2 linked regions of the Xenopus tropicalis genome follow. The protein of the gene in region 1 binds, or shares a complex with, the protein of each later gene. Links are inferred from orthologs where the notes say so. Each region holds a gene or a part of one and is shown on either strand. Other genes may lie near its edges. The genes, in order: bicd2 and bicdl1.

Region 1 (4,504 bases):
GGGGGATTCGGGGTGAGTGCTTATTTCCATAAAAGATTAGTAACTGTAACTGATACTGACACAGTTTAGGAATAACTGTTACTGTTACTTTAAGTAATAACTACAACTAAATAAAAACAGACCAACTGCAAATTGTCTCAGAATATCACTCTCTACATCATACTAAAAGTTAACTCAAAGGTGACCAACCCTTTAACCCCTGGCTGACCAGACTAGAATACAACAACTCTATGAATGATATTAACCTCACACAAACCAATGTCTAAAGGGGTAGTTCTTTATGTCACCCTCACTAACTTGTACCCAGCAGCACCCAGGCACCTTGGGGTTTAGCAGCGCTAGAGTGCAAGCTCTTGAGCACAGATATCTGTTACACTTGTTGCAAGGGGCTTCAGGATTTGTGCAACTGCAGAAACTTTTTCCCGACCCCTAACCCCCAAATTTTCCTAATGAAGATATTCCAGCCCCCACCCCAACATAAACAGGTCACTGAGGCCCAGCAGGGGGCGCCTCCCAGAGCCATTACTGTATCAGACTGGAATAAGGATTGTGGCACCAAATCAGTCCGTACTTGGCTGCCCGAATCTTCTGGGCTCCATTTTCCCTGCTAGGCCGGGCTGCCAGATTTATTTTCCCAAACCAGCCAAAGTCAGTGCTAAAATCAGCCCAAAACCAGCCAAAAGCCACTTTGAAAGTAGCCCAAATATAGCCCAATATGTGCAATGAAAAAGAATTCTAGAAAATAAAAGTATATATGGGAAAAGCTGCCTTTATAAAGCGTATAATCACTGCCCAGTTACTGGCATGGCTGTTTCCCTGCTCTCTGGGCCCAGTTACTGGGATGGCTGTTTCCCTGCTCTCTGGGCCCAGTTACTGGGATGGCTGTTTCCCTGCTCTCTGGGCCCAGTTACTGGGATGGCTGTTTCCCTGCTCTCTGGGCCCAGTTACTGGGATGGCTGTTTCCCTGCTCTCTGGGCCCAGTTACTGGGATGGCTGTTTCCCTGCTCTCTGGGCCCAGTTACTGGGATGGCTGTTTCCCTGCTCTCTGGGCCCAGTTACTGGCATGGCTGTTTCCCTGCTCTCTGGGCCCAGTTACTGGGATGGCTGTTTCCCTGCTCTCTGGGCCCAGTTACTGGGATGGCTGTTTCCCTGCTCTCTGGGCCCAGTCCCTGCAGGTTATTGTAGTTTTGATGCCTCAGATTCAGCAGAGGAATAGAAAAGGGAGCTGCTGTCTATAATTGCATGCTGGGTATTGTAGTTTTATAGTCAGCCTAGCTGTAGGCCAATAGTAAAGATACAAACTACATTACCCAGCATGCACTGGGACAGACATGTCAGAGGGAAAACACTTTAGCTAGTTTCCAAACTACAAACCCGCCAAGGCGCCAAAAACGAACCCAAATTTGTACCTTGGCGGGTTTGTACTTTGGAAACCCTTCTGGGCTTTAAATTAGTAGTAATTTGGCGGAAAACCCGCCAACCCGGCAAACCCTGCTGCTAGGTCTCCCCTACCCCGACACTTTAATCACCCCACCCTTCCCCACTTCCCAGATGTTTTGCCCTTATCTTGGCCCCGCCTCCCTACTTTCCAGCGCTACTGAGCAAGCGCACTGCCCATCTCCAGCTTAGGGACCGTGTGCAAAGCGCTGTGCCCGTAAGAAGGCTGCGCCCAGTGCTTGTCAGATTGCTCCCTCCCTATCCGCCCCCGCTATTGCCAGACGTTCCCTGCGCACAGCCTGCAGTGGGGAATGCGGAGTCCGGGCTGGAGAGGGGGGATCGGTGCCAGGCTGAGCTGTGCCCGGGCACCATGGCACTGAACGCGGCGGAGGAGGAGGAGTACGAGCGGCTGGTGCTCGACTCCGGTCCCGAATGGCTACGAGCGGAGGTGCGGCGGCTGGTACGGGAGCTGGCGGAGACCTCTCGGGAGAAGATCCAGGCGGCCGAGTACGGGCTGGCGGTGCTGGAGGAGAAGCAGCAGCTGAAGCAGCAATACGAGGAGCTGGAGGGGGAGTGTGAGACCGCCCGGCAGGAACTGGAGCAGCTCAAGGAGGTACCGCCTGGGGCAATAACCGGCTTGGGGGGTATCCTGCTGGGGTAATAACCACTGGCAGGGGCACAATGTACCCCCCCCCAGGGAGAAGGGTATCCTGGGGCAGTTACTGGGAAAGGGAGAAGGGTATCCTGGGGCAGTTACTGGGAAAGAGAGAAGGGTATCCTGGGGCAGTTACTGGGAAAGGGAGAAGGGTATCCTGGGGCAGTTACTGGGAAAGGGAGAAGGGTATCCTGGGGCAGTTACTGGGAAAGGGAGAAGGGTATCCTGGGGCAGTTACTGGGAAAGAGAGAAGGGTATCCTGGGGCAGTTACTGGGAAAGGGAGAAGGGTATCCTGGGGCAGTTACTGGGAAAGGGAGAAGGGTATCCTGGGGCAGTTACTGGGAAAGGGAGAAGGGTATCCTGGGGCAGTTATTGGGAAAGGGAGAAGGGTATCCTGGGGCAGTTACTGGGAAAGGGAGAAGGGTATCCTGGGGCAGTTACTGGGAAAGGGAGAAGGGTATCCTGGGGCAGTTACTGGGAAAGGGAGAAGGGTATCCTGGGGCAGTTATTGGGAAAGGGAGAAGGGTATCCTGGGGCAGTTACTGGGAAAGGGAGAAGGGTATCCTGGGGCAGTTACTGGGAAAGGGAGAAGGGTATCCTGGGGCAGTTATTGGGAAAGGGAGAAGGGTATCCTGGGGCAGTTACTGGGAAAGGGAGAAGGGTATCCTGGGGCAGTTACTGGGAAAGGGAGAAGGGTATCCTGGGGCAGTTACTGGGAAAGGGAGAAGGGTATCCTGGGGCAGTTATTGGGAAAGGGAGAAGGGTATCCTGGGGCAGTTACTGGGAAAGGGAGAAGGGTATCCTGGGGCAGTTACTGGGAAAGGGAGAAGGGTATCCTGGGGCAGTTATTGGGAAAGGGAGAAGGGTATCCTGGGGCAGTTATTGGGAAAGGGAGAAGGGTATCCTGGGGCAGTTACTGGGAAAGGGAGAAGGGTATCCTGGGGCAGTTACTGGGAAAGGGAGAAGGGTATCCTGGGGCAGTTATTGGGAAAGGGAGAAGGGTATCCTGGGGCAGTTACTGGGAAAGGGAGAAGGGTATCCTGGGGCAGTTATTGGGAAAGGGAGAAGGGTATCCTGGGGCAGTTATTGGGAAAGGGAGAAGGGTATCCTGGGGCAGTTATTGGGAAAGGGAGAAGGGTATCCTGGGGCAGTTATTGGGAAAGGGAGAAGGGTATCCTGGGGCAGTTATTGGGAAAGGGAGAAGGGTATCCTGGGGCAGTTACTGGGAAAGGGAGAAGGGTATCCTGGGGCAGTTATTGGGAAAGGGAGAAGGGTATCCTGGGGCAGTTATTGGGAAAGGGAGAAGGGTATCCTGGGGCAGTTACTGGGAAAGGGAGAAGGGTATCCTGGGGCAGTTATTGGGAAAGGGAGAAGGGTATCCTGGGGCAGTTATTGGGAAAGGGAAATGCACCGCTGGGGCAGTTATTGGGAAAGGGAGATGGACCGCTGGGGCAGTTATTGGGAAAGGGAGATGGACCGCTGGGGCAGTTATTGGGAAAGGGAGATGGACCGCTGGGGCAGTTATTGGGAAAGGGAGATGGACCGCTGGGGCAGTTATTGGGAAAGGGAAATGCACCGCTGGGGCAGTTATTGGGAAAGGGAGATGGACCGCTGGGGCAGTTATTGGGAAAGGGAAATGCACCGCTGGGGCAGTTATTGGGAAAGGGAGATGGACCGCTGGGGCAGTTATTGGGAAAGGGAGATGGACCGCTGGGGCAGTTATTGGGAAAGGGAGATGGACCGCTGGGGCAGTTATTGGGAAAGGGAGATGGACCGCTGGGGCAGTTATTGGGAAAGGGAGATGGACCGCTGGGGCAGTTATTGGGAAAGGGAGATGGACCGCTGGGGCAGTTATTGGGAAAGGGAGATGGACCGCTGGGGCAGTTATTGGGAAAGGGAGATGGACCGCTGGGGCAGTTATTGGGAAAGGGAGATGGACCGCTGGGGCAGTTATTGGGAAAGGGAGATGCACCGCTGGGGCCGTTATTGGGAAAGGGAGATGCACCGCTGGGGGGGGGGGTAATTTGGATGCCCAGTGGCTTCAGGTGACAGGTCCCTGTCTGCCTCTCCAGTTACTGCTAAACGGGGTACATTGTGTCAGCTATTGCCAGTCAGGGGGGGCTGTGCCAGCTGTGGGGGCTAATTATGGCTAACTGGGGGTTCAGACTGTTGGGGGTACCAAATCCTGCCAAACGGTAGGTGCCAATATTGTGCCCAGGCTCTGCCAGTTACTCTGCAAGGATTGTTCTCAGATACTGCCCCTGCCTGTGGCCCAAACACTGCCCCCTGCCTGTGGCCCAAACACTGCCCCCTGGTATTGTGGGCATAACCCTCCTGTCAACTCAGCGGGCACGGAGCTTCTAAAGAATGGATTATCTCTGCCGCTTCTGGTACCAACAGGCCGGCCCATT
Region 2 (4,547 bases), on another chromosome or scaffold:
TGTGTGAGATCAACCTCGGTTTATCAGTGTCATTTAACCATTTTTTGTGCCAGTGTCATACTCATAGGACTTTTAGTGCCACAGTAACAACTGGAGCTTTCTTTATCTTACTGATGCAATTGTACTTGTTACTTTTGTTGCCATAGATAGTTGTGTTGTGCATACATTGTATAAACTACAAACTCAGCCTGGTTTTTGGGTCCAGGCAAATACTAAATTATACGTGTGTGTGTAGACGCACACACACACTTCGATTGTGCAGAAAACGTGCAGATCTTTCAGCAGCAGTTCCCAAACTGTAGAGCTTCCATAGATGCAGCCGGAATCTCATTTAAATTTGGTGGAAAATAATATTTGCTTTTCTAGATACTCTTGAAAGCCTTATGTTAAGGTCAGTATCTTCCCAAGATATTCTTGGAACAGAATCTCTCCTACAGCAATGTCTGTAACCTTGTTCGATCTCAGAGGTAACCCATGCCAAACTGGCTTTGAAGGGAAAATTGTAAAATTATTTTCCCCAATAATTTCTTTATTCGAAGAGAAATTTAATTGGATGATGTTAAAATTATTATTATTTTTGTAGTCATCTAACTAGACTGTAGTTCATCTTACACAAAAAATACTATTATCTACTTCCTAAAAAGTACATTTATTTCTAGAGGACGCCTTACCGTATGGGTCTGCAGGTGCTAAAATTATGACTGGAATATCTGAGAAATCCTAAATGATTCTAGTGAATTCTCTGATGTGTGCGTTTTAGTTGAACATCTTTTTCTGACTTGTCCAACACGTAGTTCTATTTCCTCCCAAGCAGCAGTCTCCCCATAAGTTAACCTTAGGGGTTTGAGCTCCAGCCTGGAACGGAGGGTGGGATAAGGAGCTCCTACTCTCATCGTGCAAGATATTTCATCCAATCCCGGCGCCCAACAAGACCGGTGCTTGTGACGTCACGCAGTGTGCGCACGCATTCCTAGGGTCCTTGCAGAGATGGGTGAGGGGGAGCTGAGCGCTGAGGGGCGAGGAGAGAGCAGCGCAGCCCGGGGCCTTCGGGGCCGGACCCACTCATATTAAGCTCACTAGTACGGGGAGCGGGGGGAGGGGGTTGGGGTCTGTGAGGCTTTGCGGGGGGTTGATAGAAGACATATCCAATCAGTCACTGTAGCCGGTAGCGCGGGGGTGCTTGCCTTTGCGTAGTTGGTTTAGCGGCAGTGCGGCTGTTTGCATGTGTTTGTACATAGTACATTGATGCCGTGGGGCAGTGTTACAATCTGTACGTGTAGGCTGGGGCAGTTGTCGCGGGTTGGCTAGGGGCCGTGACAGTTTTAGGGACCCAGTCATCACTTCGGGAGGGGTGAGTATCCGACACATGGGGGGATCTGTGGGCAGATTTCCAGACTGGCTTGCGTTACACCCAGCCTGGCGTTCTTCTGTGCCACTGAGGGTGTTTGGGCAGGTAACGCTTGTGGTGGATGTCAGACAGCTGCTAATCCCCCACTTAAGCACTGAGCCAGTGTAAGGCCCTTTAGCCGGCTCACCGGGATTGTACGAGTCCTGAGCCAGCTGCTGTGTTTCATGACATATAAGTCGTACCTTGGTTAGAGGGATTTTGCTTCCACAGTGTAGGGAGGGGGGGCTGGATTTGGTGACAGGTTGTGCTTAGCGGGGTTGCAGTTGTACGGGCTTGGCAGCAGCAGCACATGGTAGAATTGGCTGGGGCGGTAAAGCCATGCTATAAACAGTGCTGTTTAGCGGAGGTGTTTCGGCTGGCTGCGTAGGCTTTCACGCTGGGTGCCGGGGCCCTGGGCTTGGTGTGTGAAGGTAGCACAGTCCGAAGCTCCCCGCTTCAGCACCATTGGCTCCGGACAGCGCCCCATGGAGCTTCCTATCAGCTTCCTGTCAGACAGCAGCCGCCCTGCAGCCTCCTCGGAGCGGGGAGATCAGGCAGCTTTGGGGCGGGGGGAGCTAGAGTTTGATGAGGAGCTGGTGTTTCTGGCAGCTGAAGGAGAGGGGGACCCTGAAGAAATTGAGGGCCCGGAGGTGAGGGAACAGTCGGAACTTCTGTGCATCATAAGGCAGAAGGAGAAGGATCTGGTGCTGGCAGCCAGGCTGGGAAAGGCGCTGCTAGAGAGAAATCAGGACATGAGCAGGCGCTATGAGGAGATGCAGAGAGAGATGACCGACAAGCTGGAGGTAAGGACATTAAAACATAGCACAGCAGTTTACATATAAGCTATAACTTACCACTGATAAGATCCCAAAGATCCCATGTAAAGGGCTTTAGACATACAGCCAGATTCAGTTCAATGAGAAAAAGTTATCTCGTGATTTATTACATGAAAACTTTCCTCCTATTTCAAATCCAGTTTTTTTTTTCTATTGACTTCAATAGAGTTATCACATGATAAACCATGAGATAAGTGTTTCTGAATTGAAGGGTAGCAGATATCGTCTGTAAGATGCTAGGCACGTAGTTTCCCATGGATCTCCAGTGTCTGAAAAGGTGAGCATATTATAGGGCATATTTATCAAAATGTGAGTTGAGAGCTTAAATTATACAGGGATCGTCAACCTTTTTTTACCCATGGGCTACATTCAAATGTAAAAAGAGTTGGGGAGCAACACAAGCATGAAAAAGGTGCCTGATGGGGCCAAATAAGGGCTATGATTGGCTATTTGGAAGAGCCTATGTGGACTGGCAGCCTAAAGAAGGCTCTGTTTGGCTTTACACTGGGTTTTATGCCACCAAAACTTGCCTCCAAGCCAAGTAATCGAAAAATAAACACCTGCTTTGAGGCCAACATCCAAGGGGTTGGTGAGCAACATGTTGCTCACAAGCTACTGGTTGGGGATCACTGGCTTAATATGTAAAAAATTCACCCACATTCTATTCTTTCCTTTGCGTTTTTAAGTGTACTTATCGAATAGCGAGTTTAAACTTTCACCCATTGATAAATACACTTCTAAAAAGCCAATAAGACTGGCTTTGGCCAGAAGTACAACATAACGCAGGAAAATTGCTGGCTGAGCTTTCACAGAAATTTACAAGGAGTTGGTCCTGGTAAAAAATATGCTTTGAGTGAGATCTAAACCACAATATCTTTTTAAGCAGTCACAGCACTGTGCAGTCTCAAAAATGTAAGAATATTACTGAGGCAATCAGAGCCTTTATCAGGAGATACTTTCCTAATATAATTTTATAACAGTTGCTCTTCCATTCTTCTCTTATGGGTAATATTCACCTGGCTGCCTCCTCAATATAGGCCTAGATAATTTCCAAAATGAAAAGGGGGTGCTGGGGGTGAGTAGGAGAGGAAAGACCTACTGAATTGTCATAGACATTCAAAATATGTGATGACAAAGGGAATTAGTGTTTGCAATAAACTACATTTAATTTAAGTAATCAAGGTAACATAAATAAGTTAGCTTCCAATGAATTTATCAATTGCTTCCAATTAAAATTGACATTTAAATGCTGAATTATGAGTGGAAAAGCAGAAGGTAGCCAAAAGGGAAGATGTCTGGTCACCAGAAGCTGCAGCAAGTTGAAATACTTTTCTTACCAGCTGCTAATTAAACTGAATCTTAATGCACTAACATACAGGTCTACATCTGGTGTATTATTAAGCACTGTGTTTTTTTTATTAGCACAAAAACACAACACTAAAACACATCATATTTAACTATTTGACTGAATGCATCTATTGTAGCCTAGGCTTTGCCTGTAGCCCTCTCCCACTCTCATTGTATAGTTAATAAATGTCCTTCAGATGGCATAATGTTTGCAAAACATAGTAGCCTTCCTGTTGTGTGATTGCTTTGTTACAAGTGTAACAACTCATGGCCAGGAAAGCGCATTTTACAGCTCTTTTAGCCTATATAGAACTTTAACGTTTTGTTATAGCAAACTTTGTTAAATTGTTTGTTGCCCTGTTGATAATTATGTCCCATAGTGTACTATGTACTCTAAGCAGTATATGTTAGGGCTGTAGACACCTGCTGTCCAACATCTTGTTCTAAAACTAAGGGTATTAATATGGATTTGGTCATTCTTTTGCTGCTCTAAGAGTCTTCACTCTTCTGCAAAGGCTTTACAATAGCTGTTTGGAATATTATTAGGATTTTCCTCCATTTAGTCAATACAGCATTAGTACAGTTGGTTACTGATGTTGAGTAATCTATCGTAGCTCACAGTCAATATTCCAATTCATGTCACACTTGTTTGGTTGGGTTTCTGTCGGGGTTCTGTGTAGGCCACTCTGCAAACCAGTTATGTACAGAGCTCACATTGTGCATGTAGGTATTATTCTCCTGAAACAGAAAGGGCCCTACCCACATTTGCCACAAGGTAGGAAGCACATAATTGCCATAAATATAATGGTATGCTATAGAATTTAATGTCTGCTTACACTGTAAGAGAGGCCCTAGGCCAAACATGAAAAGGAATCCTATCCCCCATCCTCTTCTACAAGCAATTGTAACTGGCATAACACATTCAGGCAAGAAGAGCTTTCCTCAGAGTAGCTGTAATAAATTGTGTAACGCGCCTG

Evidence for each region.
Region 2: bicd2 (region 1) and bicdl1 share a complex: the UniProt entries of both Homo sapiens proteins name them as parts of the tripartite complex. The link is inferred for Xenopus tropicalis from reciprocal best matches to the Homo sapiens genes BICD2 and BICDL1.

The regions. Positions count from the first base shown.
Region 1 is NC_030680.2:150,841,857-150,846,360, forward strand, and holds the start of bicd2 (protein bicaudal D homolog 2), read left to right. Parts: upstream 1-1,590; 5' UTR 1,591-1,807; coding exon 1,808-2,050; intron 2,051-4,504. UniProt on the Homo sapiens protein: Acts as an adapter protein linking the dynein motor complex to various cargos and converts dynein from a non-processive to a highly processive motor in the presence of dynactin.
Region 2 is NC_030677.2:151,456,842-151,461,388, forward strand, and holds the start of bicdl1 (BICD family-like cargo adapter 1), read left to right. Parts: upstream 1-1,648; 5' UTR 1,649-1,872; coding exon 1,873-2,190; intron 2,191-4,547. UniProt on the Homo sapiens protein: Acts as an adapter protein linking the dynein motor complex to various cargos and converts dynein from a non-processive to a highly processive motor in the presence of dynactin.